4 linked regions of the Arabidopsis thaliana genome follow. The protein of the gene in region 3 interacts with the protein of the main gene of each other region in a pairwise test. Each region holds a gene or a part of one and is shown on either strand. Other genes may lie near its edges. The genes, in order: PRE5, AT3G23690, AT4G30410 and HBI1.

The links.
Region 1: the proteins of AT4G30410 (region 3) and PRE5 interact in binary tests that used the Arabidopsis thaliana proteins (3 or more experiments, as listed by UniProt).
Region 2: the proteins of AT4G30410 (region 3) and AT3G23690 interact in binary tests that used the Arabidopsis thaliana proteins (3 or more experiments, as listed by UniProt).
Region 4: the proteins of AT4G30410 (region 3) and HBI1 interact in binary tests that used the Arabidopsis thaliana proteins (3 or more experiments, as listed by UniProt).

The regions. Positions count from the first base shown.
Region 1 is NC_003074.8:10,852,699-10,859,923, forward strand, and holds PRE5 (basic helix-loop-helix (bHLH) DNA-binding family protein), read right to left. Parts: upstream 4,090-7,225; 5' UTR 3,616-4,089; coding exon 3,490-3,615; intron 3,236-3,489; coding exon 3,083-3,235; 3' UTR 2,925-3,082; downstream 1-2,924. UniProt on the Arabidopsis thaliana protein: Atypical and probable non DNA-binding bHLH transcription factor that integrates multiple signaling pathways to regulate cell elongation and plant development. May have a regulatory role in various aspects of gibberellin-dependent growth and development.
Region 2 is NC_003074.8:8,526,796-8,535,490, forward strand, and holds AT3G23690 (basic helix-loop-helix (bHLH) DNA-binding superfamily protein), read right to left. Parts: upstream 4,564-8,695; 5' UTR 3,861-4,563; coding exon 3,441-3,860; intron 3,276-3,440; coding exon 3,075-3,275; intron 2,975-3,074; coding exon 2,840-2,974; intron 2,757-2,839; coding exon 2,685-2,756; intron 2,602-2,684; coding exon 2,449-2,601; intron 2,358-2,448; coding exon 2,261-2,357; intron 2,176-2,260; coding exon 2,138-2,175; 3' UTR 1,814-2,137; downstream 1-1,813. Other genes in the region: AT3G23680 (F-box associated ubiquitination effector family protein), read right to left, coding at 1-165, 266-378; AT3G23685 (F-box associated ubiquitination effector family protein), read left to right, coding at 444-1,187, 1,274-1,522; AT3G23700 (Nucleic acid-binding proteins superfamily), read right to left, coding at 4,894-4,977, 5,061-5,111, 5,196-5,274, 5,562-5,665, 5,746-5,827, 5,909-6,029, 6,121-6,280, 6,353-6,414 and 1 more; Tic22-III (Tic22-like family protein), read left to right, coding at 7,266-7,817, 7,905-7,979, 8,577-8,633.
Region 3 is NC_003075.7:14,868,827-14,876,115, forward strand, and holds AT4G30410 (sequence-specific DNA binding transcription factor), read right to left. Parts: upstream 3,442-7,289; 5' UTR 3,026-3,441; coding exon 2,483-3,025; 3' UTR 2,158-2,482; downstream 1-2,157. UniProt on the Arabidopsis thaliana protein: Functions redundandly with IBH1/BHLH158 in a regulation node known as the incoherent feed-forward loop (FFL).
Region 4 is NC_003071.7:7,951,414-7,959,680, forward strand, and holds HBI1 (basic helix-loop-helix (bHLH) DNA-binding superfamily protein), read right to left. Parts: upstream 3,327-8,267; 5' UTR 3,034-3,326; coding exon 2,650-3,033; intron 2,572-2,649; coding exon 2,353-2,571; intron 2,275-2,352; coding exon 2,140-2,274; intron 2,051-2,139; coding exon 1,979-2,050; intron 1,904-1,978; coding exon 1,769-1,903; intron 1,678-1,768; coding exon 1,623-1,677; coding exon of another isoform or gene 1,609-1,622; exon of another isoform or gene 1,228-1,608; coding exon 1,133-1,227; 3' UTR 991-1,132; downstream 1-990. Other genes in the region: AT2G18320 (F-box associated ubiquitination effector family protein), read left to right, coding at 4,807-4,896, 5,215-5,250, 5,924-6,118. UniProt on the Arabidopsis thaliana protein: Atypical bHLH transcription factor that acts as a positive regulator of cell elongation downstream of multiple external and endogenous signals by direct binding to the promoters and activation of the two expansin genes EXPA1 and EXPA8, encoding cell wall loosening enzymes.

The sequences.
Region 1 (7,225 bases), on a different chromosome or scaffold from region 3:
TTTGAGAACATCAATCAGTAGACTGATGTTTTAAAAGTGATGTTACATCAATAATCTCTTGTAGTCCTAATAAAATTTAGGACATTAAGTTATTTTTAATTTGATGAAGAACTAAATTAAGAATACTTCTTCATAAATAGAGTGCTACCGCACATAACAACTCCTAACAAAACTTTTAGTGCATTTGCATTATAAGATATTTAGTGTTTGTTTTAGAATACCAAAATACAGTAATTAAGAGTCGACATCGACACCGAGATAGAAATGACTTTTCTTTTCTACTACATCGAAGTATTTAATCATATATTGTAATGTTGAACGAATTTTGTAAAAGAAAGCTTCTCTAAGTAATTTTTTGTCTATACCAAAACTAATGGAAAGGAAGACTTATTTACTTCAAAATGCTTTTATTTTAGTTAATTTGGTTCATAGAAACTAAGGCTTTAAAAAAAACCTAAAGATAGAGAACCAAACCTTATTATAAATTAAGAATTACAAGAATTACATATAGGTTTTCACAAATGCATCTCTTTTGGAATCCTTAAACTACTTGATGAGACTATTCACACTTGACCAAAGTTCATGTGATTATCGTAGAAGAAGAATCAAGACTTTAAGAAGGGATTACCAAAGGCTTTTTATAATTAATCAAAATAAACCAGCAGAAAAAAAGATGAACAAAGTTAAGAAAAAACTTTAGATTCAGAAAAATCGTAATATTACATACATCTGCGGTTAGAATACATAGAATATTTATATACAAAAGAGTCGATGTCGTAGAAGATAAAAATGGAAAGTTTACAAAATCAGAACTGATCGGTTACAATGCGTCTTTTAGACTGATCAGTTTTGCGCTGTAATCAAAGCAATCAACCAATCAGTAGTTCAGTACAAAACATACATGATAACTGATTGGTACAATCCCATGACCGATCAGTTGGATAAGTTAGTTCGTCATAAGATTGCTGAATCTCCTGACATGATTTTTGAGGGTTATAAGGAGAGAATTATTGTGAGATCAAGAGCATCAAGATTCTTAGAACCATGTGTTACAAAGGCTTCCTTTACAAGGTATGTGGAAAAAGTTATTAAAGATGGAAAGATGGAGAAATTCTCTTGGAAAAGTTGATGAGTGTCCAATATGTTGTGCAAACTTAAAGGCATAACGCAAATGAGGGGAACATCTTTAGGGTCAATAATAATGTTGGTCAAATCCATTTTTCATGAATTTGTCTAGTTATCAATCAAGTTGTTCAGAAGAAGAGATGGGTTATAATTATAACCTTTGTTTAAAGCTGGCCACAAATATTTAGCAGGAATCCAGGGGTCATTCCATATTGAAATTGACTCTATAGAACCAACTTTTTTAATAAGTTCTTAACTAGAGGTCGAGCAGATAGAATACTCTCTCATCCATATAATCAAATTGGATCTAATTCGATCCATGGAATTTGATTTCCAAATATATCTTCCTTTAAAAACCTTAGAAAATAATAAATCAAAGATCACAATAATGCAGTATTAATGTCTTCCACAGTCTGAAAAGATATTCCATCTATCGATTTATTGCGACATAACTTATGCCTTGACATCAAGTGTATACTTTTTGATTTTCCATTTGAACTCCACCAAAATTTTGCTACCGCGCTGGTAAGTTTTGATGTGACCGAGTTTGATAAGTCTAAAACAAGACATCACATAAGTATGTAACGCAGCTTAATCATCACCTCTTTCTCACCTTTAGATAACAATTTTGATGACCATCAATTAATTCTATCATTTAAACGCTCTATGACAAAGGATAAATACTTATTCTTAGAGCCCCCTAAGTTTTCCAGTAGTCCCATATATGAACGTGAAAAATCTATAAAAAAAACGAACTTTTAAATTTGGAATGAAAAAACATGCATTTTCGAAATACCATTTAAATCACAAAGTTTTAGTTTGATTTATGATAAAATGATGAATTTTCGTTAACTTGACTATTTCGACAATGTCATTAAGTTTTCTTAACCAGACGATCACATAGTTAATTTTTCGTTAGAAGCCTATATAGACTTAGAACGACATAGTTTTGAAAGCTCGTAAATGACATCATTTCATTAGAAAATAGATGGAAAACCTACGAGAAAGCAAACTACTAACCTATTGGACTCATAAGAGACTCTCAATTGCTAAACTACGAAAATATCTTGGTATAATAGCAAATACTGCATACATATTTTGTTGGTGTAATAAGATTATTCTTTCCTAAATTATTAATGAAAACCTAAGACTTATGGAATACAGAAAATTAGTTATAAGACCTAAAATTTATATAATCCTTCTCATATATGAATCCTAAAATTTGTAGAATTCTTAATCCTATATTTATATGAGAATGATTGCATAAATTTTAGGTCTTATAACTAATTTTCTATATTCCATAAGTTGGCAGTCTGTTAAATCTCTGTAAACAATTTTTAGAAAATTATGAATCTTTCGTCAAAGCGAAAGGTCTTCATGGGACATTTCTAACATGTACACCAAAAAAAATCCAAAAAGATTAGTCGGGCATTCGTATACACACTCATGCTCATTAGCTTTCATAGATTAATTATCACCGTTAAATGTAGATACCTCTCATTACTTCGTCAACGTCATAGTCATTTATAGGAATGCAATAATTATGAGCCGGTGCTTACCCAACAAATACTATCCTCAATAATTTTATTAGAAACGGAAAAATGTATATCATTAATATTAGTTGATAACAAATTTCAAAATCGAAATATTTATCCAATTGTAACAAAAATAGTAACTGAAGGATTATTCATTATTTATTTCATTCGGCATTGTTTTTTATTTTTATATTTGACTAACACAATCAAGTTTAGACATCACAATGTCCATTATTTTTTAATAAATATCAGAAATTTAGGAGACTACTGACTAGAAATTAATGTAAATTTCTGTACCAAAATTCCAAAGTTCATAAAAGATAAAAGCACGTCGCTTGATATATAAAGGACGATAAAGATTACATATATAGATAAATTAATAAATACTATATTAAGAAGTTATAATAAAAAATATTGGAAGGTTACATGAGTAAGCTTCTAATCACGGCAGCTTCAGGGCTATCTTCATCAACAGAGTCAAGAAGCTGCGACAAACGATCACTGAGATTGTCAACTTCTCTATGCAATTTTCTTATGTAGTTGCATGTCTCTTGTAGTACCTTTGATGCTGACACCTATTTTGAACAAATAATAATGTTAGGATTCTACATTTTCAACAAACATCATCAAGAACATTAATATATATACACACATGTACGAACACCACATAAACAAGACTTTTTCGAAGTTCAAAAATGTTGTCAGGAGTCAAATGTTCCGACTTTTTTGGTTTCTTTTGTTTGATTTAAATGTAGACGAAAAGATCAGTTTTTTTTTTTTTTTTGTATATACATGAATGAGGTGAAATGAATGTATATATGTCGTATACCTTATCAGAACGACGCCGTTCGTGAATCTCCGGCAAAAACTGACGGAGCTTACTAACGAGGTCGATCATCTGGTCATCGGAGATCCTCGAAGCATTCGAAGTTTGTCTTGATCTTCTGTTAGACATTTTCTTGTTTTTACTTTGTGATTAGGTGTAACACTACAATGCCGCAAGAAAATAACCTTTATGTTGTATGCTTTCTCTCTTTTCTAGATTAGATAATAGAGAAGAGATTGAGAGAGAAGGGTTTGTTATTAAGAAGAGAGTTTTAAAAAAAAAAAAGTGAGAGAAGTTATGTAGAAGGTTTGTGTTTATTCTACAGGTTTTATATTTGTGTTGAAGAGGTGTGAAAGAAAGAAAAAGAAGAGCAACGAAAAGAGAAGAGAAGAGAAAATTGTAAGAAAGTGTTTCGGGTAATAGAGACACTTCGAGATATAAAGAAAATGAGAAAGTGATAAGAGAGATTTAAAGAGGTCAAGGACCACAAGGGAGAGAGGGAAGAGATCAATAAACCTAGACAATGATGTAATGGGAGAGAAAGAGATTTGAATCTTTGATAAAACCTCAAACAAAATTTGTTTAAATAAAATTATATTTTTCTTTATCTCATCTACATAGAGTAACATAGATTAGAAATGAATATTTATAATAAAAAGTACTCACTAATTTAAAGGAAAACTTATATAGCTTTATCATATATTATTAACTTTTAAAAACTATTTGTATGGATATAAATCAAAATTTATTTTGTAAAACTAGTAAAAGATTAATAATTGAAAGAATTGTATATAATATAGTTATGCTGAATAATGGACGAGGATTTTGGACATTTTAATGGAGAAATAGATGAAAAAGCTGAATGTTCCCAAAGCTGGTGTTGAAGTTGAAGTGGGATTTAAGAGAAGTGTTCCATGTTGAGCTAACAATGTGGCCCTTTATGTGCATGTCACTAAAAGGCAATACCATGTGATGACCTTGACTTTCTATTTTCATTTCATTACTATTTACGATATTATCCCACCTTGGATCCATAGAATTATAGAAAGATCTAGAATTGATCTAGGAAGTTTGTGGTTGATCCGAAATTGAACATAACTTTCCATTCAAGATTATAGACCTAACTTCCTGTCATGTATGATATGTCACAAGAACACATATGTAGTAATCCAAATCAATTTAGATGAACTGGTTTAGTTAAATTAGTGTGTTCACATGGCTTAAAACTTATTACACATAGCTTGTAGTAGCACAAATAATTTTGAATCAATGTGTTGATATTCCTTATTGAATCTATATAGACCGCAAAAAAAAAGGAAAAAAAAATAAAGCAGCGTGGACTTTGATTCGGTCTTGCAATGGATTACCCAAAAAAAGTAGTCATGATAAGTTCGTCTGCTTCCTAATTTAACTCCTATGTTTCGGAAGCTTGAGAGATTTAGTATACTTGATGTTTAATGGCATATATCATATATGTCCCATATGGTTGCTTCAGATCTCAGATTATGCCTCCTTAGATTCTAAATCATGATTACCACGGGGACACAAGGTACTTAATTATGTCCTTTATTTGTGTGCATTGTTTGCATAACATACAAAAGTGTCAGTAAATTAGGAAAAGTCTACTAATTAATTGGTATTAAATCTAATCAACTGAACCATGTTTTCTCCTCCAACTTCCAAGCTAATAGGAAAATATATACCAGGACTTATAATTAAAAATCTAAACTTAATTAAGGAGAAGTTCTGTAATTATTAATACCTAATTTTTTTTTATGATTTAGAAACTTAAAACAAAATTTACATGTAGAGCAATAGATGGAGGCGAACATATTAATAGCTTATTTTCTACAATACACATACATCGGATTTGAATCCAAATTGTGATAAGAGAAAAAGATATAAATCAAAATGTTCATACTAATTATTTCGTTTTTATTTATTTCTCGTCCTTTATGGGGACATCTAAGTATGTGATTGTTACAGCTTTGTTTGCCTTAGCTTCGCATCACATTAATTAAATTTGTAATATGGTTGTTTTATCCTCTATTTGAATGAAATGCTTTTAGTGTTAAACACATTTCAATTAGCTAAACATAAACAAATAGTTATAGACTAATTGTACTGTTTTATTGATCACTGAACCCGGGAAATTTACATTTTGGTGACTAGAATATTGAAATACATTGAAGGTAATGAGTAAAATAAATTTAGTTATTACAAAATATGCTAAACAAGTAGTGCAAAGTGAACAGAGTAATGGTAACCATAATAATTAATAAGATTAAATACAATTAACAAAAAATGTATAAAATTTTGAGTGACCGTAACGTAAGCACGCATGTCTTTTGTTGTTTTGTTGTAATGAAGACAAATAAGACGTCTCAATTGAAGGCGTATAGCTAGGTTGAGAAAAGTACTCGACATATATACAATTGTCCATTAAACGTTATCTACATAATTATATTGTTAAACCATTCGTAATTATCAAGAACAATACTACATAGCATAAATGATACGTATTCATCATCATATTCGTTTCGTTTGCATATATAGATTATTGGTATTGTCTTTGTTTTTTTGCAAATTAGGAACTTTGCCTATGTGTTTTCTATTTCTGATCTTAGTTTTTGATTTTTTGATAGTCAAGTCTTTAGTCTATCTGCAATGTGAGTTTAAACTCATAATTTTACAAACGAAAGAAATATATTTCAACAAAATTAGTCATGTTTAAATTTGTCGTATTACTATAAGTTCTATCAAGAGAAAAGCCATGTAAAATTACGGTCTTTTATCCGCGCATTTTCAAAATTAAGATTAGCTCCGAATAGTTATTCTACACACAATGGAGCAGACAATGCGTACCAAAAATTATACCATGCATTTATAACGATATTGACGACAACATGAATTATTCACCATAAATATACATTAAAACGATGTGTATCCAACGTAGACATTAAAAGTCAAGAGCCCTTGTTTGAGAAGGTTCGTTCTCATATTCGGAAAGAAGCTAATCACTATGTTTTGGCTCTGTTTTTACCTTAAAACTCGGATTTGTTATGACAGATTTTTGCCATTATAACTTTTGGATTTGGTTTACGCAGCCATACTTGTGTTGACTCCACTTTTTTCTTGTTAATAAAAGTTTGCATTTTCAGTGAAAAATAGAAGAAGGAAAAAAATCAAGTATCTAACCAAAACTCCCTCTAATATTCTTAAGAAAAACAATGCACATTATAAGTATACATTATATATTACTGTAAATTAATAGCTAAGGGAGATGTAACATGTTAGTCCATGTGGGTTTCACGTACTGAATGTTAGGCCTCTTAGGCTCCACGATGTTTTTATGTCCAACGATCCCTTTTGATTTTTCCTATCAATTTTGGTCCATTCAAACATAATGTAACAAAATAAGATTATTCAAATTTAAGTTATTGATAAAATAATGAGAAAAGCAGCCTTATGCAATAATGCAATAATTGAATTTTCCGATATAACTATATACATGTTTTAATTTCTTTTTGTTTGAATAGTTGTAATTTTCGTGGTTAGGTTTACGCTGCGGAATCAACGTAGTTTAAGCAATACGATTTTACGAAAAATGCGTAATAATATACTATTATTCAGCATGCTATAATAGTGATTTCAACGAGTCATAATACGTCTTGACCTTTTTATAAGTAGAATACTGTATAAAAATATGCTTTTTTTCCTTGTTGAAGAAATAAAAATA
Region 2 (8,695 bases), on a different chromosome or scaffold from region 3:
TTCTCTTCTCTAACACAAGATAACGTCATACAGTCAATATGCCCACCACTAAACGGCAGAGGCAGAAGAGGACCAAATCTCTCACTTGTAAAATCAAAACAGATTAAGCGATTAGCAAAGACTTCATTTACATCTACGTTCCTTTTTGCAGCACACCAGTACGTGCTTCCCTTAAGAGAACGCCACTGTTACAAAACGCTATACGCAATGTGGAGTGACATCAAGAGTAGTCCACAAATCAGAGTCAAAATCGTAGATTTCATACCAAAAGAATTGCTTCTCGTGTGCATTGTAGTAATAATCTATCAACCTCAACAACTTGTAGTTACGACAAGAATCCGTATTCACGTATCCAAGAGCGTAAGAGAACCTGCACATATTCACGTATACGATTAACTTGCAAAAAGTGGAACGATTTATCCAAAAGTCAGAGCTTTATGAAGATGCACATTGGTCAAGCCGCAGCAAAGGAAGGTGAGTCTCAGATGATCGTGATGATGGGTAACAATCTTTCTTTAACGAGTATTATTCTCAATGGAGATCCATCTATAGAGCATAAAGGAAAACTTCCTTGCCTTGACGAACAAGTCAAGATATCTCAGTTCTATCACTGCGAGGGCTTACTGCTATGCATTTTAAAAGATGATTCTAGGTTTGTGGTTTGTAATCCGTATTTGGAGCAAACAAGGTGGATCGAACCAAGATATTCCCATCGTCCACACGGATGGGATAGGTTCTCTTACGCTCTTGGATACGTGAATACGGATTCTTGTTGTTACTACAAGTTGTTGGGGTTGATAGATTATTACTACAATGCACACGAGAAGCAATTCTTTTGGTATGGAATCTACGATTTTGACTCTGATTTATGGACTACTCTTGATGTCACTCCGCATTGGCGTATAGCGTTTTGTAACCGTGGCGTTTCTCTTAAGGGAAGCACGTACTGGTGTGCTGCAGAAAGGAACGTAGATGTCGATGAAGTCTTGGCCGATCGCTTAATCTGTTTTGATTTTACAAGTGAGAGATTTGGTCCGCTTCTGCCTCTGCCGTTTAGTGGTGGGCATATTGACTGTATGACGTTATCTTGTGTTAGAGAAGAGAAGCTTGCGGTTTTACTTCAGCACGATGAATCAAATCCATATGAGCTTGACTTATGGATTACGACCAAGATTGAGACTGGAGAGGTTTTGTGGAGCAAGTTCTTGAGAGTGGCAACAGCTGGATTTAATAGTTATGTTCCTTTATAAGTGAAAGTTTCTTCATTGACGAGGAGAAGAAAGTCGCCTTTGGTTTTGATGGACGTAACCGCGAGAGAGTTATTGTCATTGGAGAGGCTGGATACTTGAGGGGATTGGATCTCGTTGGAGATTTTGGAGACCAAGAATGTAGGACTGATCTGTGCTCTTATGTTCCAAGTTTAGTACAAATCAAGCAACCTGAAGGAGGGGAATCGAAACAACAAAGCGATTTAGAAAAGTGTCGATATGATGAAAACATGTTGAGGCTTGTCTCACTCTAAGCGACAAATCAATGAGCTTTGATAGGAGGAAGGAAAAAGGAGCCAACGAGATGATATTACTCTATTATTACGCAGAAACAGAGCTTTTATTTCAAGTCTTGAGTTAATGAAACTGAAGATTAAGATCATGTTCATGGTTCATTCTTATCTTTCTTCATCGATAATGAGCTAGTCGCTCAATCTTTTTCTTCTGGAACTTAGCTTAGTGTACCTTAAAATGCAATATTAGAGTCTCATGAAGTCAATTGGGAACGTATACGAATCGAAAGAGAGAACTTCTGTAATCAACCACTCGTACTCTCAATCTTGTTTCGTAAGAAAATGTGAAAAGAATATAAAGAAGTGAACAAATTTATTCCTGTTTCTTACAAGCTTAGAGCAATCATAATACATAACGATTGTAAAACAGTACAGAGAAAAGTTCTTGTCATATTTTTACATACTTAATCTGAAGTTTTCTTGTTTTTTTTTTGTTTAAGGTTGAGAAGAAATCAACAGAGACACAAGCAAAGAAGCAACGATTGTAAACATTAAAATTCCAATATGATTCACTCCGTTACTCATCACTACTTGGTTTTCTGTATGTACAACAGAGATAATAATCATAGCTATGGACTATGGTTCAAGCTTCATCTGAAGCGTTGGCTCAGAACCTGCAACATAAAGATACGAGACTTTAACAACATAAGAGATAGTTCTATAATTTCGATAGACGAATTTGCTTCTAATTTTTCTTACAGTTGTTGTTGTTGTTGTTGCTCTGTTGCTGGAGGATATCTCCAAAACCCATCTGAACAATGCTTTGCAGGTCATTATTTTCCCAGAATCCTGGTGTCTATAATGAATCAAAAACATAAAAGGATCGAGTTTACGATACGCACAAACGAGTTTTTCTAGAATCTGACGTTAGCTACTACTAAAACTACCTCAGTGTGAACAAATCCATCGTTTGAGGGGAATTGTGTGTCTGAGAATCTTGGCATGTTCTTGCCAAGTGAATAGTATGCTGATGGAAGTCTTTGCTCTGAGCAAGCCATTGCGTAAAGAGACTGCGTTAACGACTCCCCCGGTTGAATCATCTACACATACAAATACACACATTATAGATACAAAACATTCCATAATCTGACCATTCCATTATAGATACAAAGCAGAATCTTACCTCTGTGGATAAAGAAGCATTAGCATTAAACTCCATCCTTGGATTTACGGTAGCCAGCTTCATGGACAAGAACTAAAGAAACAAACCACGAGTTTTAGATTCAAGATATACAAACTCCAACTTTCAAGAACATTTATGAAATACACAATTCATACCTCAACTTGTCTCTGCAAGGACTGCACATAATTTATAATTTCATCAAGCATGACTGCTTTCCCTGTAATCCGGTTGCAACCAGGAACCAGATCCTGAAGCAACGTCATTCTCTCACTAATCTTTTCTCTTCTTGCCTGAAACCAAAACACAGCCAAAAAAAACATCAACATCATAAACATCAAAACAGCCCCTAATCAACAAAAAAACAGATCAGTTTTAGAAGGTGTGTAGTACTCTTTCAGCAAGACTATGGCTATCAGTTGCTTGACCCCTTCTAGCTCTGACATGAATATAATCTTTAGGCGCCTCAGGAGGCTTAGCATCGTCCTTATTGTCGCCTTTACTATCGCACTTCTCTACTCCGTTTTTACTACTCCCAGCTACATCTTGCTTGCTTCTCTTCCCACCTTTAGATCCACCATTCTCTCCTGAAACCTAATCATATATCCAAAACCAAACACAACTAAAAAACCTTGTACACACACTAAAAGGTCTATAGATAAAAAGTCTCCACAAAACACAAACTTTCTTACACATATGGCTACAGTTTCCTAAAGTATACATTTTTGAAATAGAGCAAGAGAGATAATGAATCAAAACCTTTGAATTGGAAGCTGTAAGAGACGATGAAGCTGGAGACTCCTTGCCATTACCACTAGGAATCGACTTCCTCTTTCTAGAGTTAGATTTCGTGGTGTGAACTCGATCCGAAACTGAATCTGGATCCAACAAAGAGCTCTTGTTACTCTCCTGCGTTGTTGGTTGTGACCCAAATTCACGATCGGATCCAAATTGACCTGGATATGGAGGGAATCTGATTCCACCAGAGATTGGGAAATTCTCGGAGATCTGAGAATTCAGAGAGAAGGATTGTAGAGTTAACGGTGAAATCTCCTGAGGGTTGTTGCAGTATCTTCCAAGGAAATCTCCAATTGTTCCTTCATTGCCATTGCCAAAGGGATCGCTCTGACCCAAAGGTAAGTAATTTAGGGTTTGCTCTGTTTCCTTGTCCATGTTCATCTAAAAAGACTAGAACTTTTATGAACAAAAAAGTGAAAAATTCAATTCCAACAACTTCTCTGGGAATTCTGAAGAAAACCCAGAATCTGAATCAGAAAGCAAGATTGAAATTGAGTGAAAACAACCAAATTTGAGAAGTAAAAAGACAAACTTTATGTGTGTTTCTTCAAAAACAAAACAAGTGATGATTTTTTAACTTCAATGTAAGCAAAAAAAGAGCTTCTTTCAATTATGGGTTTAGTGGAGAAGAAGATCTAATGAGGGAAATGAGTCAGGAAGAGAGAACTAGAAATGAAGAAGCATGATTGATCAATTAGGGGAAAGAGGAAAGAGAAGAAGAAGGCGGTGACTTTTTTTACTGATCAAAGGAAGAAGAAGAAGAAGGTTTAAGAGAAAATGACAAAATAAAAAAGAGAAAGTAATGATAAGAAAGATTAAGAAATTAAAAAAGAGTGAATTTTACAGTTCAAAAGGAGAAGAATCTTACGTGTGTTTTATGTTAATGTGGGAACATTAGATGGTGAAAGTGGGTAGGCTGCTTAGGCTGGCCTCTGTAATCATTGGAGTGAGAATAAGAGAGAAGAAAGAGAGAGAGAGAGAGAGCATGTGCATGGCAGAGACAGGAAAGTTGTGGGAGAGAAAACAAACAAAAGGATAAAATTGTTTTTAATTATCATGTTTGATTATTCTTGGTTAAGAGACTATTTTAAAAGATGATGGTACTTACCAAAACATGGTGTCAAAAAAGTCAATTATTGACTTGAGAAGGTTTTAGACTTGAATTTGATGTATTATGAGTTGTTTATGTTAATGAAGTTTATAATGTGTAACTAAAAACATTGAGTATACACATATATTTTCATAGGTTTGTGTTATGTGTGACATATAATGATGATACAAATGAATTTGCATTTTTGCCTTTTAAGAATATTTCTGAAGTAGTCTCTGCTCCACTTGAAGTTACATTGGCAAGAGTTTGAGATGCATAGAGCTGAATATAGTGGCTGAGTATCAAAAGTCTTTTTTCGGGTTCTTAGGGGACGCGTTCTAGTACATGCTGAAGCGCTTTCTTGATTCCTCCTTGTTCCAGAGACGTTGTCAAGTGTATCTCTTGCACCTGTAATGTTAATATTTTACTTAAAATCAAACCAAGAATCTCTCTATCTATGGCCATATAAATGGGTAGCTTCTGAGATTTACCTGTCTTCCAGCACGGGCAAGAAGAACAAACTTCCCATCAGAAGGCGGTGTCTGCGTGTGAACATGCGCATAGAATCAGAATTTTCACAGAGCAGAGTTTATTCTTACGGGAAAGTAAAGAGAAACAGAACTCACATTTGAGAGCCAAAGTTGTAGGTCTTGTGAAACCACTCTTTTCTCAAATCCTTGCCGGTTGATTTTCACAGCTTCTATTCTGCAATATAGAAATGAATATTAGTTACACACTGGAACCAAAATGTTATGCCTGAAACATAGATTCTATAAGTAATGCAATTAACAATATCCAACTCATCATGGGTTCAGAAAAAGTATCAGCCAGCAATAGCTATTGACATGTATATATTCAATCGCAAATCGAGGAGTGAACAAATCTAGTAGAGTAGAGGTGATCCTAGTCACTTATAATAAGCAGATATTATGCAAAGAGCTGACTAGGACTGCATAGTAAATTTAAATTATAAAATGATATTGTCTATATACCCATCTTCCTTTAAAAGCTCTTCAAGTATTGTTTCTAGCCCTGGAAGAGGTTCAATTGTATCCCCATTGTTCGAGCTTAGCGAAGGAGATCCAGTAGAACTGTCCTGTAACAATATTCAATTATCTATTAAAAATCACTAAGACCCACAAGAGACAGAAAACACATTCATTCACATTGTTTTACCTTCAAAATCACTTTGTCTAATGTTTCTAGAAGAGGATCATCTTCTAGTTGTTTGATGGATAGTGTAATCCTTGATTTCTCTCTGCATTGGAACAACTTTTGATTAAAAACTATATCATGAGTCATGGCTAATAAATTTCAGTAACCAAAATAAGCAACTCACTTGTCAATATTCGTGACTATAACCCGAACCTCGTCACCATCGCGTAGTACATCCCTAACATCTTGAACGTAATCCCATGATACTTCGGAGACATGCACTAGTCCAGTTAAATGATAAAGACCTATACACCACCACCCCACATAACTGACATCAATGTCATAAGCTCAAAACAAGAAAAAGAAACCAAGAAATTTAGGTAAAAGCAAATATACCATCATCAAAACGCAAGTGGATAAAGGCACCATAGTCCTCAACAGAACCTACTCTTCCGTTAAACACATCCCCAACATTAACGTTTTGTGAATACTTTGGCCATAATGCTAACTTCTCAGATAAAATCAACTTTCTATTTTCCTCATCAGCTTGAACAACCTAATATAAAGATTTACCTCAAATTATAAACAATATAGAGATCACAAAACAAGCCAAAGGAGAAAACTTTACCTTTACAGGAAGTTTAGAACCAACCAAAGTCTTAGCTATCTCATGAATACTTTTCTGAGGCTCTTCATAAAGCAAAACACAAACCATCGATCAATGTAAAAATCGATACTTTAAGGACATAAACATAGAACCTTGTGAAGAAGAGAGAGTTTTGGTTACCTTTACAAGAACGGGAAGGACTTAATTGTGGATAAGGAAGAAAACCCACAAGAGAATGAAAACGAATAAGTAAGCCACCACCATTAAAGCCTTGAACTTCACCTTCAAATGTATCACCACTTTTACAATAAGCTTTTGCTGTTTTCCAATCGCTTGGTCCTGCAGCTGAAGCTTCGTCGGAGGTATCACGGAGAAGAGAATTGGAAGCGGAGAGGACTGAGGAAGAGGCTGATTGATCGGAGTTTCTATCGGTATCTGCTGTGGCGGAGCTTGAGAAGGATTTGACTATGCAGACGAGAGAGTTTCTATTGGAAGAAGAAGAAGACGAGGAAGGAAGGAGTCTAAGTGGGCAAGAGAGGAAAGTGGATTGTTGGTCGAAGAGATGAGAGGCGAATGAAACAGAACCTAAAGTAGTAGCGCCACTAAAAACCGCCATTGTTGCGCGGTAGAGCAAAAAAGCCACGGAGATTGAAGGTAATGATGGTTAATGGATTTTGCCATTTTGGATAAGAAAGTGAGAGACTGGAGATGAAGGTGACGTGGCATTTGTCAGCTCACAGGTGCTATATTTTAAAACATATAGGATCAATTTGTAAACATTGGATAATTAGAGGGTTTCTTTACAAAAACAATTCTAATTCAAGCAAAGAGATCAAATCTTTTTCCTCAGTGTCGTCGTCTTCTTCGCAAAGCCTTTCAAAAACCCTTCACTACTCTTTCTCAGAGTCTCAAGCATCATTTTCCCGAGAAAACTATGAATTCAAACATTTTCCCACCATCGAAACAACAAAACGAGCTTAATAATATACAACAATCCTTCTCAAATCTCCAATCTCAATGCTCCAATTTACTCCTCAACGTTTCACAAACCCTTAATCCTCTCTTCAACGCCAACACGAACAACAACAAACCTAATATATTCTCTGCTCTCAATTCGTTTCGTGATCAAGCTAAGCAAGCTTTAGATTCTAGAATCTCTCGATTCAATTCTGGTAAGGCACCTGTCTGGGCGAGAATTTCTGACGACGGTGGTGGTGCGAGGGCTCAGGTGACGGTTCCGATTCGCGGAAGCGGGAAAGGATTATCTGCTGATGCTATTGAGGAGAGATTGGCGGGAGTTCCTGTTTACGCGTTGAGTAATTCGAATGAGGAGTTTGTGTTGGTTTCAGGGACTTCCTCTGGGAAATCTCTGGGTTTGTTGTTTTGTAAAGAGGAAGATGCAGAGACTCTTCTTAAAGAGATGAAGAGTATGGATCCTCGTATGAGGAAAGAAGGTTCAAAAGTTGTTGCTCTTGCTCTTAGCAAGGTATAAGGAGGAATCAATAACTCAATTAGCTCCTTTAGTATTCTTCTGTTTAGTGGTTTTGATTTTTGTGTGTGTTGTTTGTTGCAGGTGTTCCAGTTAAAAGTTAATGGTGTGGCATTTAGGTTGATTCCTGAGTCTACTCAAGTGAAAAATGCCTTGAAGGTGAGTTGATTTTACGATCGAACATATCTTTGGATACTCAAAAACTTTTCTTTTTGTCACGGTAGGCGTTAGACCTGCTGAATATGACTGTCATCATTCATTAACGAGGAGCTTTTGTGTTAATTTAGTTCAGGGGCATTTTGATTACTTCAGTGGTTTATTGTAGCTCTGTTTCAGCGACTATAGATAAGTCAGTTAGTTAGAGAGGTAACTGATTAGAAGGAAGTTGATGCAGATGGAGAAGGGATTCTGGATTGGTCTAGCATTGGTTTGGGCTTAGGAGAGTTGAGGGTGCTTTAGAATTCATCATTGGTGCTTTGATTTGGTTTGTTCTCAGTTCTGTATGTGGATTCAGAGAGTGAGTAAATAAAGAGAGAATACCTTTTCTGCGTCAACAGTTGGTTTTCTTTAGGAGTACACTAATTGCATTCAGTTTTGGTACATTTTTACTCAAAGGTGGTCGGGTTAATTTGCAGGGTATAGGTCTTATGGATGTAATCCTTCCTAGATGTACGATTATGTTTCTGAAAACAGACTGTAGCATTTGGTTAGACACAGTACAAGTAAATTATATATCTCTTCTATATGTGTATACAGGAAAGGAAAACAGCTGGTATCGATGATGATGACTTCCATGGTGTTCCGGTTTTCCAGGTAATATGCGAAAGAACCAATACTTTTAATGGTTGTGACTAGCTTTTTCGTTTTTACTCTAT
Region 3 (7,289 bases):
GATTGTTGAAGAAACCGTAAAAATGCTTAACCGGTGAGTAGTTATCGCAAATTTCTTCAGATAAATTAAAATCCTGAACTTGATGTTGTTAGGTTAAAGTTCAGACTAAAGTTGGCTATCAATACTACATATGTTTAGCGGAACTGTTAGTCATACAATTTGTTGTGTCTAATATGAATTTTCTTTTTAACAATAAGATAATGAATCATATAATTTGCAGTTGAGATACAAACCATTATTCTATGAATCTTTGTTTATATGTTTTTTTTCCTTAATTTCTGTTTTCTGGAGCATTAGATAAGAAGTAGGTGTGGTGGTAAGACAGTTGCATTGAATTGAGGCAATTCTTCTTACGACAAAAGAGTGACATCTTGATTCTTGTGCGATATGTTGTATACATGTATGTATGTATTTAAATGTTGAATGGCTAAAGTTTTGCATTAATGGGTGAATTAATAACGGGCATGGAAGCAGTTGGATTACATGCCCACTAGTCACTTAGTCTTTATTGCGTGACAACTTACATGTAATTTTATAACGTTAATAACATTGGTTTATGTGCAAAGTTAATTCATCCCAATTTTGCGACCAAAAGTTTATTCATCCCTATAGGAATAGGTCAAAAATCAAAGAAAATATACACTAAAAGATAATACGAAATTTTTACCACATAGGGTGTCTCTATCGGTTATAGTGGTATACAATTTTTTTGTGAAAGTGATTCTTGATTCTAGCTTGGACCATATGCTAGAATTATCGTATACTCAAAGCCGTTTATTTCTATGTATAAATGGTGCATTTGCATTATTGCATAAGAGTTTGGATTTTAAAATGAAAATAAACCTTTTTTGTAACACTCCTTTAATATGTATGAGAATATGACATGATTTCTTGTAAGCTATAACATTCAATTTCTGTTTGACTTTAAAATTCTTAGATAGTTCCCCAAATGATTTTTTTTGAAAAAGGGTTAAGTTCCACAAATAGTTTGAGACAACTTTCTCCTAAATCCTAATGTTTGACTAACCTTTAAAATTATAAGTCGCTTCTACTTAATAATTTCCTTGCTCCTCGACAATTCTACAGCCAAAAATAAAGTCACATAAGTCAAACTCACAATTTCTCAAGAGTCAAGACATTAATAAGGGAAGACTACATGTCGTTTTAAGATAAAATAAAGGGCAACGCCGTGTTGTCTCTCTTTCATTCACTTCTTGAGTTCTTTCCCTTTAGTTTGTGTGGACATTTGACTGGTTAACAAGAGTCCAACTGTTATTAAACAAACCATTTACGAGTCCAATTAATAACAAACTGGGCTGGGCCTAACAGAACATAAACAAGTTTCTCAAAATGTGTAATATTATATTGGTATTTTTTTTTCGTTTTTTTCCTTCTAATAATCTCCAAAGAAAATGTTGGCAAGTTAGCTGTTACAGAAAAACCATTGGGGTTGTTGTCAATAGAACTTGCAGTTTAGACCACATACAGAAAAAATCGAAAATACCCCTTTGTTACATGATCTAACATATAAAGTACGTGGCAAATAAGATTTTTTTTTTAATAAGAATTTGTTCAAACAAAAATGAATGCAGATCTAACTGAGAAGTGAGAATCATTAATCATATGTACATAGATGCACATATAAATGGATAAATACCATCGGTGGGAGGCATAGCTTTCATGAGACAAAATAATATATCTTTGAACGGTGTTAATTAATTTAGCTAGGAAAAAAATGAACGTGAATATGTACGTTTTTTTTTTCCTCGTTGCCATTAAGCGTCTTCTTCCTTAGCTGAATACTAAATGATGCTGATTGATGAAACATGGAGTATATACGAAAAAGACTGATTTTTACACGTGCTGTCTTATTGGTTGTTTTGTTCTAGTAGACTAGTACTATCCTTTCAAACCAAGTCTTTAACCCAAAAAAAAACATAAGCAAAGAGTCAAATATATATTGGACAACTCATATGAGCTAATTAACATTGAAAATCTGAAAAAAAAAAACAGAAAAAAAACTCACATGAGCTAGTATATATCATTTGTTTTGGGTTGACATGTCAAATGAGCTATCCAATACGAGTGAGTTGTAATAAAACTGAACCAGATATCTATAATATAAAATAACATTTGTCTATTTTTTTCTCTCAAATAAAAACATGCCAAGAAAAGCAATCGAAGCGTTAAAAATATCTTAAAATTCACTCACATTAACTAAATTAAATTCAAAAAAAATAAAAATTTGCCAAGAAATGTTCCAATAAAAACCACCATCACGTAGCAGAAACTTTCTATAAGCATTGTATAAATTTCCTTATGTACAAAATGGCTTACTATAATATCTCTCCATCCTCGTATGACAATTGCATTGTCCGAATAACATACGGTTCTAATGACCAACAACAAGATCCGATCGACATCATGCTTTCGCAACTAATCTCCGCAGATAAAAAAATAAAACAAGATTTTTTTTTATCATTTATCTCTCAATTTCGGCCTCGGCAGCATCAACAATACTTCTCATAACATTTACTTGCGTTTGAAGCGACACAATGTAATCTAACGTTTCTTGAAGCAACAAGACGTCATTGCTCATCAACTCACCACCAGGTACAACGTTTCTTAATCCTTGAGTCCGTCTCTTGACGAGTCTCTTAGCTTTTGCTGCAGCCTCTTCGCTCGCTGATTTCGATTTCCTCCTCAAGATCTTCTTGCTTCGCCTCACGATCTTCCTATGACACACAGTCTTCTTAGGCAACTTCTTGTTGATTAACGTTTCCGCTTTGATGCCGGAAAGCATCTGACGTACGAGGAAATTGTCCTCGGTGGCGGTTTTCTCGATTAGGGCTCGGCTCCAACAAGTTGTTCCTTTTCTTAGAGACGCCATTGCAACGTCTGCAGAGAGCTTTATTGCTTTTTTTCTCTCGTGGACGCTCGTGTTGTCTATCGAAGGACGGAATATTTGAAGACCCATTTGCCATTTCTTTAGGAATTCTTCATTCATTGAGCTCGTAGGCTGCATCCTAAATCCTAATCAAGTAGAAATATACTCAATTATGAGTCATTTTTCAAGAAAAAGTAAGTTAATCCTAAGTAATAAACCATGATGTCTTTATACATCAAAGGGATACATGTATGTAATATACTAATATACATCAAATCATAACCAAACTGGATTTTTTCCCCGTTTAGGGTTCCTTATTATAACCAGAAGAGACATGAACACATACCTTTTTAAGAATTTGTTTACTTCTAGTGTCGTCAAAGATTGCTAAGAACAAATCTGCGGTCACCTCACGAATTCGTGAATTCGACGAGAGAGAGGGAAAGAGACAGAGAGGTAAGGGAGAGAGAAAGGAGAAGGAAAGGGTCCATTTTAATTGTTTCAAAAGGAGAGGGAAAATGGTGGGGGCAATAGGAGATAGGAGAAGCACATGCATGCACATGCTACGAATGGCCCACGTACCCTTTTGTATTACCCTATAATTTAGGAAACTTTTGTCCATTATTATTTGTTTCCGCCGAAAATTTGTGATGATATATATACGTTTTGATGTTTTAAGTTTTGCAATTATGAGGATTTTATGAAAAAAAAAACATTTTTTGTGTATCTTTCGTTTGTTTTCTGTCAACTGCGTAGCTTCATTTGGTTTTTTTTTTCACACTCCGTGAATCCGTGATATATAATGATCTCATCACTCGTATATATATGTATGTAATGTATGTTCACATATTTGATTTAACATGTAATTCTCTATCTGACAACCTTATCAGTCAGCGCTGTCGCCAAGCAAATAAAGGCCTATATAAGCACGCTAAATAATCTAGATTATCTTTGAATTGGTGTCATTACTTAGTTAGAACATATATAATAACTAAAAAAGTCCATCTCAGTTTTGAAATTTAAATGTTAAAGAACGTAAAGTATAGATTAAAAAGTTGTGGTTCTCCAATGTTGTAGATTGAGTCATCAGTCTTCCATAAAAGTTTATAATCTATATATACTTACCGTGACCTGGATCACCTAAATCACCTAAGGTTATAAAAAGATAACAAATGATATAGAATGTATAGCTGAGAATAATGGCTGGTTCTGACGATTGTGAGTGCGTAATTTGTTAATGTAATATGTTCAGTTATTATCGAGCAATATTCAGTTTGATTATTGTCGAACAATGAGTGAATCTATTAATCATATTTACCATTATACGTCAATAATTTACATACAAAAAACAGAATTTGAGAAATTTATGATGCATTGCATTGCACAGTGCACACCTTGGTTATACGGTGCATTATTTCATCTTCTTTTTGATGCTTCACAGTGATACATTCACAACTAGGTATCAAATATGAAAAGCATGGTCAACACATTAACTGTGCCATAACTTTTTTTATACACATACAACAAATAACATCAATATGGTGTTAGTGGTTAAAACGTGGCGATCCGCAAACTTTGGGAAAGCCTGGTTTTGAAAAAGAAAAAAAGAAACAATAATAATTGTTGATAAAAAGGAAAAAGAAACAATAATAATTCATTTATATTGGTCAATTTAATTCAGAAAACGAAAAAATGATATTGATAGATGTACATGAATATAAAAGTTGATGTTCGATAAATATATACAACTATCGAAAGAGAAATATTTTTGATATTAAAATTAGCTTTTTTTCTCCAACAAAATACATCGAACATGGATCTTCTGGTGCGGGGATTTGTTTTCCAATGGACCTCCGTAATTTACGGGAATCTCAACAATCATTCTCCGAACTCTACACGCCCACCATCTCATTGTCGTCACCATCAGTCAAATTTTCTTTGATTAAAATGTTTTGTGCCCTTAATCACATTCTACGACGTCGTTAATGTGGCAACACTCTTGCATGCACGCGTCCACCGAAGCGCATGTGCACACGTGGAGGGACCCTTACCCATTGGTTCTTTTACTTTTACATTTTTTCACTCACCAAAGAGTGATTTTCAACGGTGACTCTCACAGTCTCTCTGATTGACGGCTGTGATATGTTTTAAAATCATTTACTATCATATAAGAAATTCAGATTTACTGACAGGTCGATTGTCCTAACAGTTGATAAACTTCCAAAAATTGAGGATTTATAGTACAATCAAATTGTTTCTAGTGTCTTGAATCAAAGAACACCAAATGGTCTTGATCTACAGAGAGATATCTCGTACTTTTTGAATTTGCAAAAGATATGTGAGATGACATTGCAGAACAATACATTGATGTTACTGTTGAGTGTTGACAGATGTAACTATAATATAAAAATAATGTTTGAGATCATTGGTGGCGTGGCTGATGGTTTCATCACTCATCATGGGGAATAAAACAGACGAGTTCACAAGATGCAATAGTGAGAGTCCATTGATGCAAAACAGAATTATATGTAAAACAAATAGTTTTATCAAAGTGTATATAAAATGTAACATATGATTCATACGAAGAGTACTAATCTAAGTAGAATAGTTATAGGAAATGGTAACTCTAGCTTATCCTCAATATATGTTTCAATTAATCAAGTATAATATTATTTTACCGATCAACTATTTTTTTCATTCAACTTTATCTGATATACTATTTACGAGCTCCATTCTTATCATAATCATATAACGCATGGTCTTAGATAAATGTATACTATAGTCTATGTGTAGGCCATGTGAAATAATTTGAAGTTAAAAAGGTAGAAGAACCGACGGAATGGTGAGTGGATTAGCTTCAGTTTCATGGTATCTACTGCTATCTACGAGTCTACGACCGATACAGCCTAAAAGTCAATTAAAGTAACTGTTTTTATTTTAATTGGATAATGTTTAGGGTATAATCTAAAATCAATAAACATAATCTCCTTTTAATGATATGTTTGTCTCCTTAAATCAAGGGTAGATTAGTGTCTTCTTCCGTACTCTTCCAAGGACAAAAGTAAAAAACTTAATTCAGACTTTACTACGAACCGATACTTTTTTAAGAATAAAATATGAAAATGCATAGTTGCGTACATAAGTCATCTATATGAAATTGTGAATTGAAACATATCATTATTTAAAATGGTAACAACCCGAACAATCAATGTGAAACATGCTAAAACAAGATTCATTAGTGCATAACATGGAGAGAGAAAAATGAATTGTGATTAATAATTGTGCTAGTTGCTAATTAATTAGTGACGTTGGAGGAGTGGGTGTTTTCACATGGGAAGTTTCTTTCGTTAAGTTCATATAGCTAAGACATTTAATACTACAAGAGGGAGACTTTATTTTGGACTGTCATTATATATATGCTCTAATTAAGTTCCTTAATGGAGCTATTCATAGTTACTTTAGAGGAAGCAGATGTTTTGATAGGGTGCCAATTGTGAATAATCAAAGTTTTACCCATCATTGTTTTACTCATTACTTCTTCATATTTTCTGATGATTCAGCCAGATCTGTCCAAGGCATCCTCATTGTCCTCTTTGAATTCAAACACATGGCTGATTTTTCCCTTTTGGTTTTCTGCATTTGAAATCAGGAGCTAGAAAAGAAGACTCTAATTAACATCTCTCATAATGTTGTTTAAGACTCCCTCTCTGCACCAAGAAATGATCAATGTGAAACGATGAAGTTCTAGCTAAATATCGTCTATTTTGACAAAGAGGAAGTGTGTTAATTGAAAATTATACAATGATATTAGTGTCGTTGATAATTGTTTTCACCAAATTTAACAAAAAACGAAGGTTGAGAAATATATTAATTGAACGGCCATTTGGGGTGAAGCATTACGATTGCATTAGAGTGTTATTTTAGTTCATCTTCTAGATCTGTAGTAGCAGATATTCTTATTAGATCGATAATATTAAATAAATACCTGCACTACAACTAATATAAATTGATCAAACAAATATACAATTAATTTAAAACAAGAAATTAGTGCTAACTCATGGACTCACTTGTCTGTACTAAGACCAAGTGTGGAAAGAGCTGTCATGTTTAAGATTATCAGATTTCTTGTACTAAGATCCAAAATTTTGATTTTAACCTCGAACATTAACAAAAAGAAGCTGTAGTTAATCAAATTTACATTAACAGAAAGAAGCTGTAGTTTTCTTGAATGGCGTAGACAGTTTCAAGTAGCCACATCTGATTTTGATTAACAAATTGTTAGTGGTATTAAAACAAACTGATTGATTTAGCCACCATAGTTTATAAATGCTATATTTGTCGACAATAGCGATTGTAGTAGGTATATGAAATCAACCATATAACAAGTTTTTATAATGTTTCA
Region 4 (8,267 bases), on a different chromosome or scaffold from region 3:
AAATCAGACAGTTCATGAATAGATCATTGGTTGGAAAAATTGATATGAGAAAAGAACATTGACCCACTTGGTAGCTTGAAAGCTACTTTTAGAAAACATATTGTGATAAATATATAGAGAGCTTGTGTCAGCATCAGTAACATTATACATATCACTATAGTAGCATAGTGTAGTAGATTTTGTAGTGCATTGATAAAGTTGGAAAAGAAAATAATAAGCTAGAAACTTAAGGGATCTTTGGTTTCTTCATATAGATGCACGAATGTTGTTGGCTTTGTAAAATTATATATGTAGGTGCATCCGAATGCAAAATTAGATATATTTTGAATGTAATGAAAACTAGAGTTTGAATGCAATCGTAGCATCAACAAGACAACAATGATCAAACGTCTAAAATATCATTCTTTGAATTAAAAATGAAACAAATTTAAAACAACGTCCGATTTTATATATGTTCACCAATTTCATAAAGAATTCATGAATTTGCCATCACTCGAGAATCCAATTTTCTTATTTGTTATAAAAATGTTTACTAGTGTAGTTTTTAAATTAACAAAAATTTATTTGACACTAACTAATATCCAAAAAAAAAATAGAAATAGAAGAATCCTACTCGATGATGTTTTATTTGACAAAATTTTATTTGACACATACTTCACATTTGATGATGTTTGCTTTTTACAAGAATCCTACTCGAATATATGGTTAATCTTTAGCAAGAAAATAGAAGAATAAATGAATAACCTCTCCCGAATCTGTGAATAGTCGATGAGCTGTTTCCAAACGAAATTTTTTTCTTTTCTTTTCATCTAAATGTGCATTGAGAGTCATCATTCGGATTCAACATCCAAATTCAACGCCATGATGTTGGTTATGAATTTTTAAAGAATACAATGCAATCTTGTATCAAAATAACTAAAGACAACATCTGTTTAAGCTATTAGTTTTTTTTCTTATGATCGATTTAATTTTACATAAATTAAATAGCTAGAAAATAATTTGTATTCAATGAATAAAATTTTATGTGAAGATAAAATCGACATTGATTAATTGGCTGCCTAGATACCGTTTACTTTGATCATCAAAAGTATTCTTCCACCGATTTATAAAAAATCATGGCGACCTAATAACTCTATACCCATACCCTTCGAATGGGAACATATTGATGGGTACATTTCGTTGACAATAGAATCTTAGATATTTTATTGTAATTACCACAAGAGTTTTCTTAGATATTCGTTGCAGAAAAAAAAAACAGGAAAACGATTTATAATTTTCTTAGATATTTATATATCCAAAAAAACAAACAAGAATTGTAATTACCACAAGAGTTTTCTCTCTTTCTTCTACAAATATGATATATATCTATAACTCCTCTAAAACATATTTATCTATCTCTCTATATAATCTATACACAAAGATTGATGGTGACAAGATCATTGGATTGCTATCTCCAGTTCTTCTGGTTTAAATATCAGAAAACAAGGATCAAAGGATAATGCATTAACCAAATTTCGAAATTACTACTTTGATGAGCAAATGTAATAGAATTTGCTTCTGATTTTGATGATTGATTGATGTCAACCATGTTGTTTCAATGAATCTTGCTTAGTAATGAAAACCGAGGCTAGATGTGTTGTAGAGACTCTGTGATTGAGTTTCCCAGCTTCCAGATGGCTGAAATAGAGAGATACAGAGACAGGTTACTTCACTGACAAGGAACAAAAACTCTGACAAGTTTTTCAGTTTCATATAAAGCTGTACTTACAGCTTCGATAGATGTCGTTTGGTTCGGGTTTATCGCAGACAAATCTAGAGATCCTTGCTGGTCTAACGGAAACAATGGCACATCAACCATTATTGATTGCTTTGAAGCAACTACATTTGTAAAGTAAGCCTGAAACTGAAAATTTCATAACCCTTAAGTTTGTTGAGCAATATCAATATGACTTTGAGGGTCTAGACAATGTGTTTTCACCTGTTTTACGGATACATCTTCCACGGCAAGCTCTAGTTCCGGGTTCAAGACAGCAAGTTTCATCGACAGGAACTGCAAAGTATGGCTCTTTAAGAATTAGACTTATTCTCTTTGGTTAATAGTGAAGTTAAGTTACAGAGAATCATGGTTTCATTGCTTACCTCGACTTGTCTTTGGAGACATTGAACATAATTGATGATCTCATCAAGCATACCAGCTTTTCCTGTGACCTTATTGCATCCAGGCACAATATCTTGCAGATATTTCATTTTCTTGCTGATCTTTTCTCTTCTCGCCTGCAAATCCAAATCCATTCAGAAACCCTAGATATATCATGATTCTTGTATCACAAGAAACTTATTTATTTTTATTACCCTTTCTGCTAAGCTGTGTCTGTCAGTGGCTTGGCCTCGACGAGCTCTCACGTGGATATAATCTAATTTCTGATTCTCTGAAGCTCCTTTCGATGTCTCCTTTGAAGTGTCTGAAGATGCTTCAGTGTTTCCCATGTTTGATTTTCCTTTCATGCTTGACTCTGTCTCAGCCTCTACTTTGATCTTCTTCTCTGTCTTTTGCTCTTCCCTTGTCTTAACCTAAGACATTATTAATAAAAAATATCAAAAACCATGTCTCAAAACAAAGTTTTTATCCAAAATTTTGATCTTACAAACCTCTGGTTTTCTCTTGTTCTTCAAGGCAACGGCTCTGGTTTCTTCACCGGTCTTCAACAAAACCTCCATTGTATCCACAGGTTCCATATGGCAGCTACTTGTTCTTGAAATGGATTCATGTGGAGGACCAAAACCCATGTTATAGTTTGGTCCAAAACCAGATCCAAGCATTTGAAATTGGCTGAAACTACTCTCCAACAACTCATCATTGTTGCTTCCATGGAACTGAAGTATCTGAAGAAGTTCAGGTGAATTATTACTGCTATGGGACACAACTTGTTGCAGTTGCTGTTGTTGCTGTTGTACCCATTTAAGCCTTTCAAGTACAGACATGTCCATAGAGTTTAAGGACAAGCTTTCTTGAGAGACAAGACCTTCCAACATATTGTTCTCTGCAGAAATCTTTCAACTTATGATCTTTTAAAGTGAGACCAAAAGTACAAAACAAAATAGAGAATGGGAAAAAATGCAAAAAAGCTCTGAGTTATTTGGTGGGTTTAAAGCAAAAGAGGATTTGCTATAAATGTATGAAGAAGTAGAGATTTAGGTTATGTAATATTGTTTTTGGGTGGTTGCTTAAAAAAGATGAAAGAGTTGGGAGAAACTAATCCATTGAAATCATTCTTCTTAGCTTTAAATAGAAAACAACATTGACCCACACACATAAGGTCCCCTACTTCTTATGTTTTTATTTTATTTTCCTTTATAAATGTAGAAATTTCATTTACTTATTTGTTATCTCTTACCTCTCTAGAAATAAATACTCTCTTACCAATTCAAAATGGTACCACACGTTTTTTATACGCCACAACTTTTTTATACGTATCCCTTAAAAAATATATAGCAATAACAATAGTTTTCTATTTTACGTAGATGTTCAACATAACATTTGTATCGGATTTGAGACCGATCTTTTATGATAAGTTTACGAAAATGGTCGTACTGTAGCTATGTGATAGTCACAAATGACAGTGAGATAGATTAAACGTTAGCGTTGGTGGATAAATCGGGTCCATCGTTTAGAGACACTTGACTATGACTAGGAGAAAAAAGAGGCTCAAGAACAAATTGCGGAAAATAGTAGTAAAGATTCGGTATCTAAGAGAGAGAGGGACATAAATTGATAAAAGAAAAGGTTGGGAGCAAAGAAGGTGAGAGGAGAAGGTGTAGGGTCTAAGTGACATAACCCACACCATGTGGGCATGTCCTTATGAACACTAAATTTAGAGGTTCTTTATCCCTTCTTTGTGTGTGTTATGTTTTCTTTTTTTTCTTCTTCTTTTTTGCCCTTTCAAGTTTATGAGAGGAGCTTTACAAGGAAAAAATAAACAATGAGTGAGACCTTAACATATATTGACATTTGGAATAGTCAAATTAATTGAATTCAATCCAAACTAAAATTCAGAAAATTGATTGTTTCTATAAAACTTACTTACAAAGTAAAACCCAAACAAACTACATTGAATCCATGTAACAAAACTTATATTAAAAAAAGTTTGACCGCAAAATTTGCATCATGACATTATTGACATGTAGTCTAATAGTTTGTATTTTGTGTTGTAAATTGTAATTGTATCAGTACAAAAAAAAAAAAAACTGAAAAGAAGAAAACATCGCTAGAGAGAGGGGTCGAACCTCTGACCTTGTGGTTAACAGCCACACGCTCTAACCAACTGAGCTACTCCAGCTTATTGATAACAATAATATATAACTAACTATATTCAGTTAGTTTGAAATAAAGACACAAGACAAGATCATGCAAAAGATCTTGTCATCTTGGGTTTTCCATAAAAGAATCAAACGAAAATCCATGAGTAGATAGATAATACAGCAAGACAACAAAGAACAGTATACCACCAACCATTGAATATTTTAGAAATTAATCTATAACATGACATGTTAATAATTAAAAGCGACATCAAAATATATTTAAAATATATAAAGAAAACAATGGGTTTGAAGATAAGTGATTGGAAGGTAGGAGACCATTGCTTTTGATCAGAGTGTTTGATCATATTCTTCTGTCTACTAGAGTGTGGGCTTCCAACCTAAAACCAATTGGCAATAGGTGGAGAGACCCATATCTTATATATACCACTTAAGATCCTACTTAACTTCCGATGTGGGACATTGTCCCTAATACGCCCCCTCGAGATGATGGCTCTTCTAGCCATTGATCTCGATATGTTTGGGCATGGATCGGCGGGCCAAGTATTGGGCCGGACCGATGTGGATCGGGTTGAGTATGTGCGGATCGGGCTCTGATACCATATTAGAGTGTGGGCTTCCAACCTAAAACCAATTGGCAATAGGTGGAGAGGCCGCTATCTTATATATACCACTTAAGATCCTACTTAACTTCCGATGTGGAACATTGTCCCTAATAGTGTCCTTCTCCATTCACTGTTGTAATACTATTAAAGTTATAAGTTTACCCACTTCCAAATTTCAATCACATTCATAAGAACTGCAAAACGAGCGATTTTTTTTTTTTTTTGGATTTAAGTTCTTATAAGTTTTCCATTGTGAAAAAGTTAGCTAGTTATGTTAATATTATACATGTAGCAATATAGCACAAAGTCATTACTTTCAATCTACATAGTTGGACCAAATTGAATCAACTTTATAACATTGGCTGCATTAATGATTTTTTTCCTAAAAAATACAAGTCATGATATAATTCTTAAGGTTTCTCACATCTAAGATGTATCTGTCTAACAATATTAAGTTGTTTCTTTTTGATAAAAAGTTTTCTAATTTGTTTACTGATAATATCAAACAGAACCGTTGTAATAACAATATCGATGCCAGTAACAAAAGCTTATATGTTTTTTTGTTATGTGTAACAGTCTGATACACAAATAGATTACTTTTTTTTCAGTGTTTTCACGTCCAATTCGGACCCTCCAGTTCGACCGGTTAACCCACAATCCAAACACTTCTCTGGTTTGGGTTAAGTATTAATAACCGGAAATACTTACTATTGGACTCAAGAAAGAATGAAAGGGTGTGATCCATTTCAAACCCCATATTTCTTAATATGTTTTGATTTTACAGCAGAGAGATTTGGACAGGTTCTTCCTCTGCCATTTCAGCATCATGAGGATGATAACAATAATGAAACTCTATCTTGCGTTAAAGAAGAGAAACTCTCGGTGTTATATCAATCCCTGTGATAGAGATTTGGATTATAACTAAGATTGAGCCCTAAGTGGTGTTGTGGACCCCCTTCTTAAAAGTTGATATAGAACCACTCACTGTTCTTGATTTTCAGTTTTATGAAGAGACTTGCGGTTTCTTCATTGATGAAGAGAAGAAAGTCTTCGTGGTTTTTGAGTTAGATGAATCTCAAGCCTACAAATATGCTTACATCATTGGAGAGAATATATGCTTGAAAAAATTGGATCTTGGAGAAGTTAGAACATTTTCTTGCCCAATTGTGTGCTCCAGCTCTTATGTTCCAAGCTAAGTTTAGTGAAAATCAAGGAAGAGGAAGAGCAAAATTAGGAAAGAGAAGAAGTGAAAGCGAACCAAGTTAACAACAAGGTCTAACACTACACTATTAGTCAAAAAGGAAACAACAAGAGTTACAATTTATTAATAACTTATAACTCTTCTTTGAATTAGAAAGAAAGAAAATAAAAAAAGCTCAACTTTCATTCGTTTTTTTTTCCTTTTCTTTTGCAATGTCCTTTAAACAAGACTAATATAATATTAATTTTGGTCATAAGTAGTATTTTGAAAACTCTTGTATTATTTTCTTTTGAGCTTGAGTTGGAGACAAGGTGATATGTTCGAATTTTGAAATGAAAGCAATCGGCATGATGAACAGATTCAAAGTTCTAGTACTCATAGTAATACCTCAAAGTGTAGCATCCAATGTTGGGCCTTATATCCAATGCAAACATATGAAGTCAATGTTGCGCTTACATTAATTTTCAAAGTAGAGGAAGTAACTGTCGACTACAAACAAGCTTCGATGTTGGGCCTTACATCCAATGCAAACATATGAAGTCAAGCCTAGTGTAATCAACAGTGCGTGTGAAACAAATGTAACAAAATAATAATAAATGGTCACAAGTTCCTTCTATGACGACATTGTATTGCATGTCATATATCCAATATTCCAAGTGACCAAGTCGAAATCCAGTTTTATTTATTTGGACAATCCTTCTTTCATTCATAATTTCCCAACTTCAACGAGGACTAAAAAATTAAATTGTATTAATAAATATATAGAATTGAAACACTATAGTCTATAAATATATATAAACACTATACTACAAACCTCAATATCAACATTTACTTATTTTTAATCAAAAAAATAGGCACCAAATAAAATACCCTTCTATCCGGACGAATCCTTGTGCTTCTGATTCGATTACGAGACAAATTGAATTAGTTTATATCTTAAAATAAAAAGTATTCAAAAGCTTAGAATAATTATGATCTGGACCAGATATGGTAAATAACTAATGCAAATTCCTTTGCAAGAAAAAGTTGAAGAACTTATTGTTGCCACACTCCCACAACTAGTTTCATAGCGCCACCACCAGTAAACATGCATGTGTTTGATTCCTAAGGGGTTTTTAAGTCGACATTAAAAAGGCTAAATTGTTCAAATAGTTATCTTACAGATTGTTTTCTCATGATGGCTAAGCCAATGCTCTATGAAATTTAACTAAAAATTATATATTAAATTTTGCTGTCGAAAATTCGATAACCAAAAATCTACATAAAACTCTTGGATATATGCTATCTACTAAAAACAAAAAAAACCATGAAGATAACATTATGCGGGTTTGAATTTTGGATGATGATACAATGAACATACCAATCTGAACCACTAGATTTAAATGTTTTGATCAATAAATTGTACAATTAAAATGAAGTTTTTAACAAAGTTATTACTTTATATATATTTTAAAATTTTAATTCTTATTTTATGAAAAAGTGAATAAAATTCGTTTTTTTCGTTTCTTTAAAAGGTGAAATCATAGTAACCACTGTTTCTAAACAATTTTCATTATCTTCAAATTAAAAGATTCATTTTTTTTTATTATTTTTGTTAACCGAGGACTATCCAAAGTCTTACTATATAATCTTCCAAAATCTATAAAAATTTCAGGTCAGTGAAAACGTTTACGGATGGTCATAGATAGTTGAAATTGGGAAAACTCGAACCCTGACAAATAATATTAAATTTGAAAAAAAAAAAATCAAGATTCCATATAATTAAATGTTTTATAATTTACGTGGGCATGTGAGTACGAGGGAGCATCTTAACAACATCGACTGTGGAACTTTTCAAAGGGATCATGTAAAGTTGGAATCTGATCAAATAAAATAAGAAAACCTTACTTTAGCAGCGAAGTTTGGTCCATATAGGCTATAGAACAACAACGAATACCCAATACGAGTAGCACATGACGAGGTGGATCATAGTAAAATGTTGATCACAAAACAAAATTTAATGAGTGAATTAGGTAGATGACACAATTGAATTAAGAAAATAGTAATGTAGTTTTTTTTGTTAGTTTTAATTTTATCTTTCATTTAAATGTTATGAGAGATGTGAACTTTATTTTGTAGCATGTTATTATGTCATGTGGACCTTT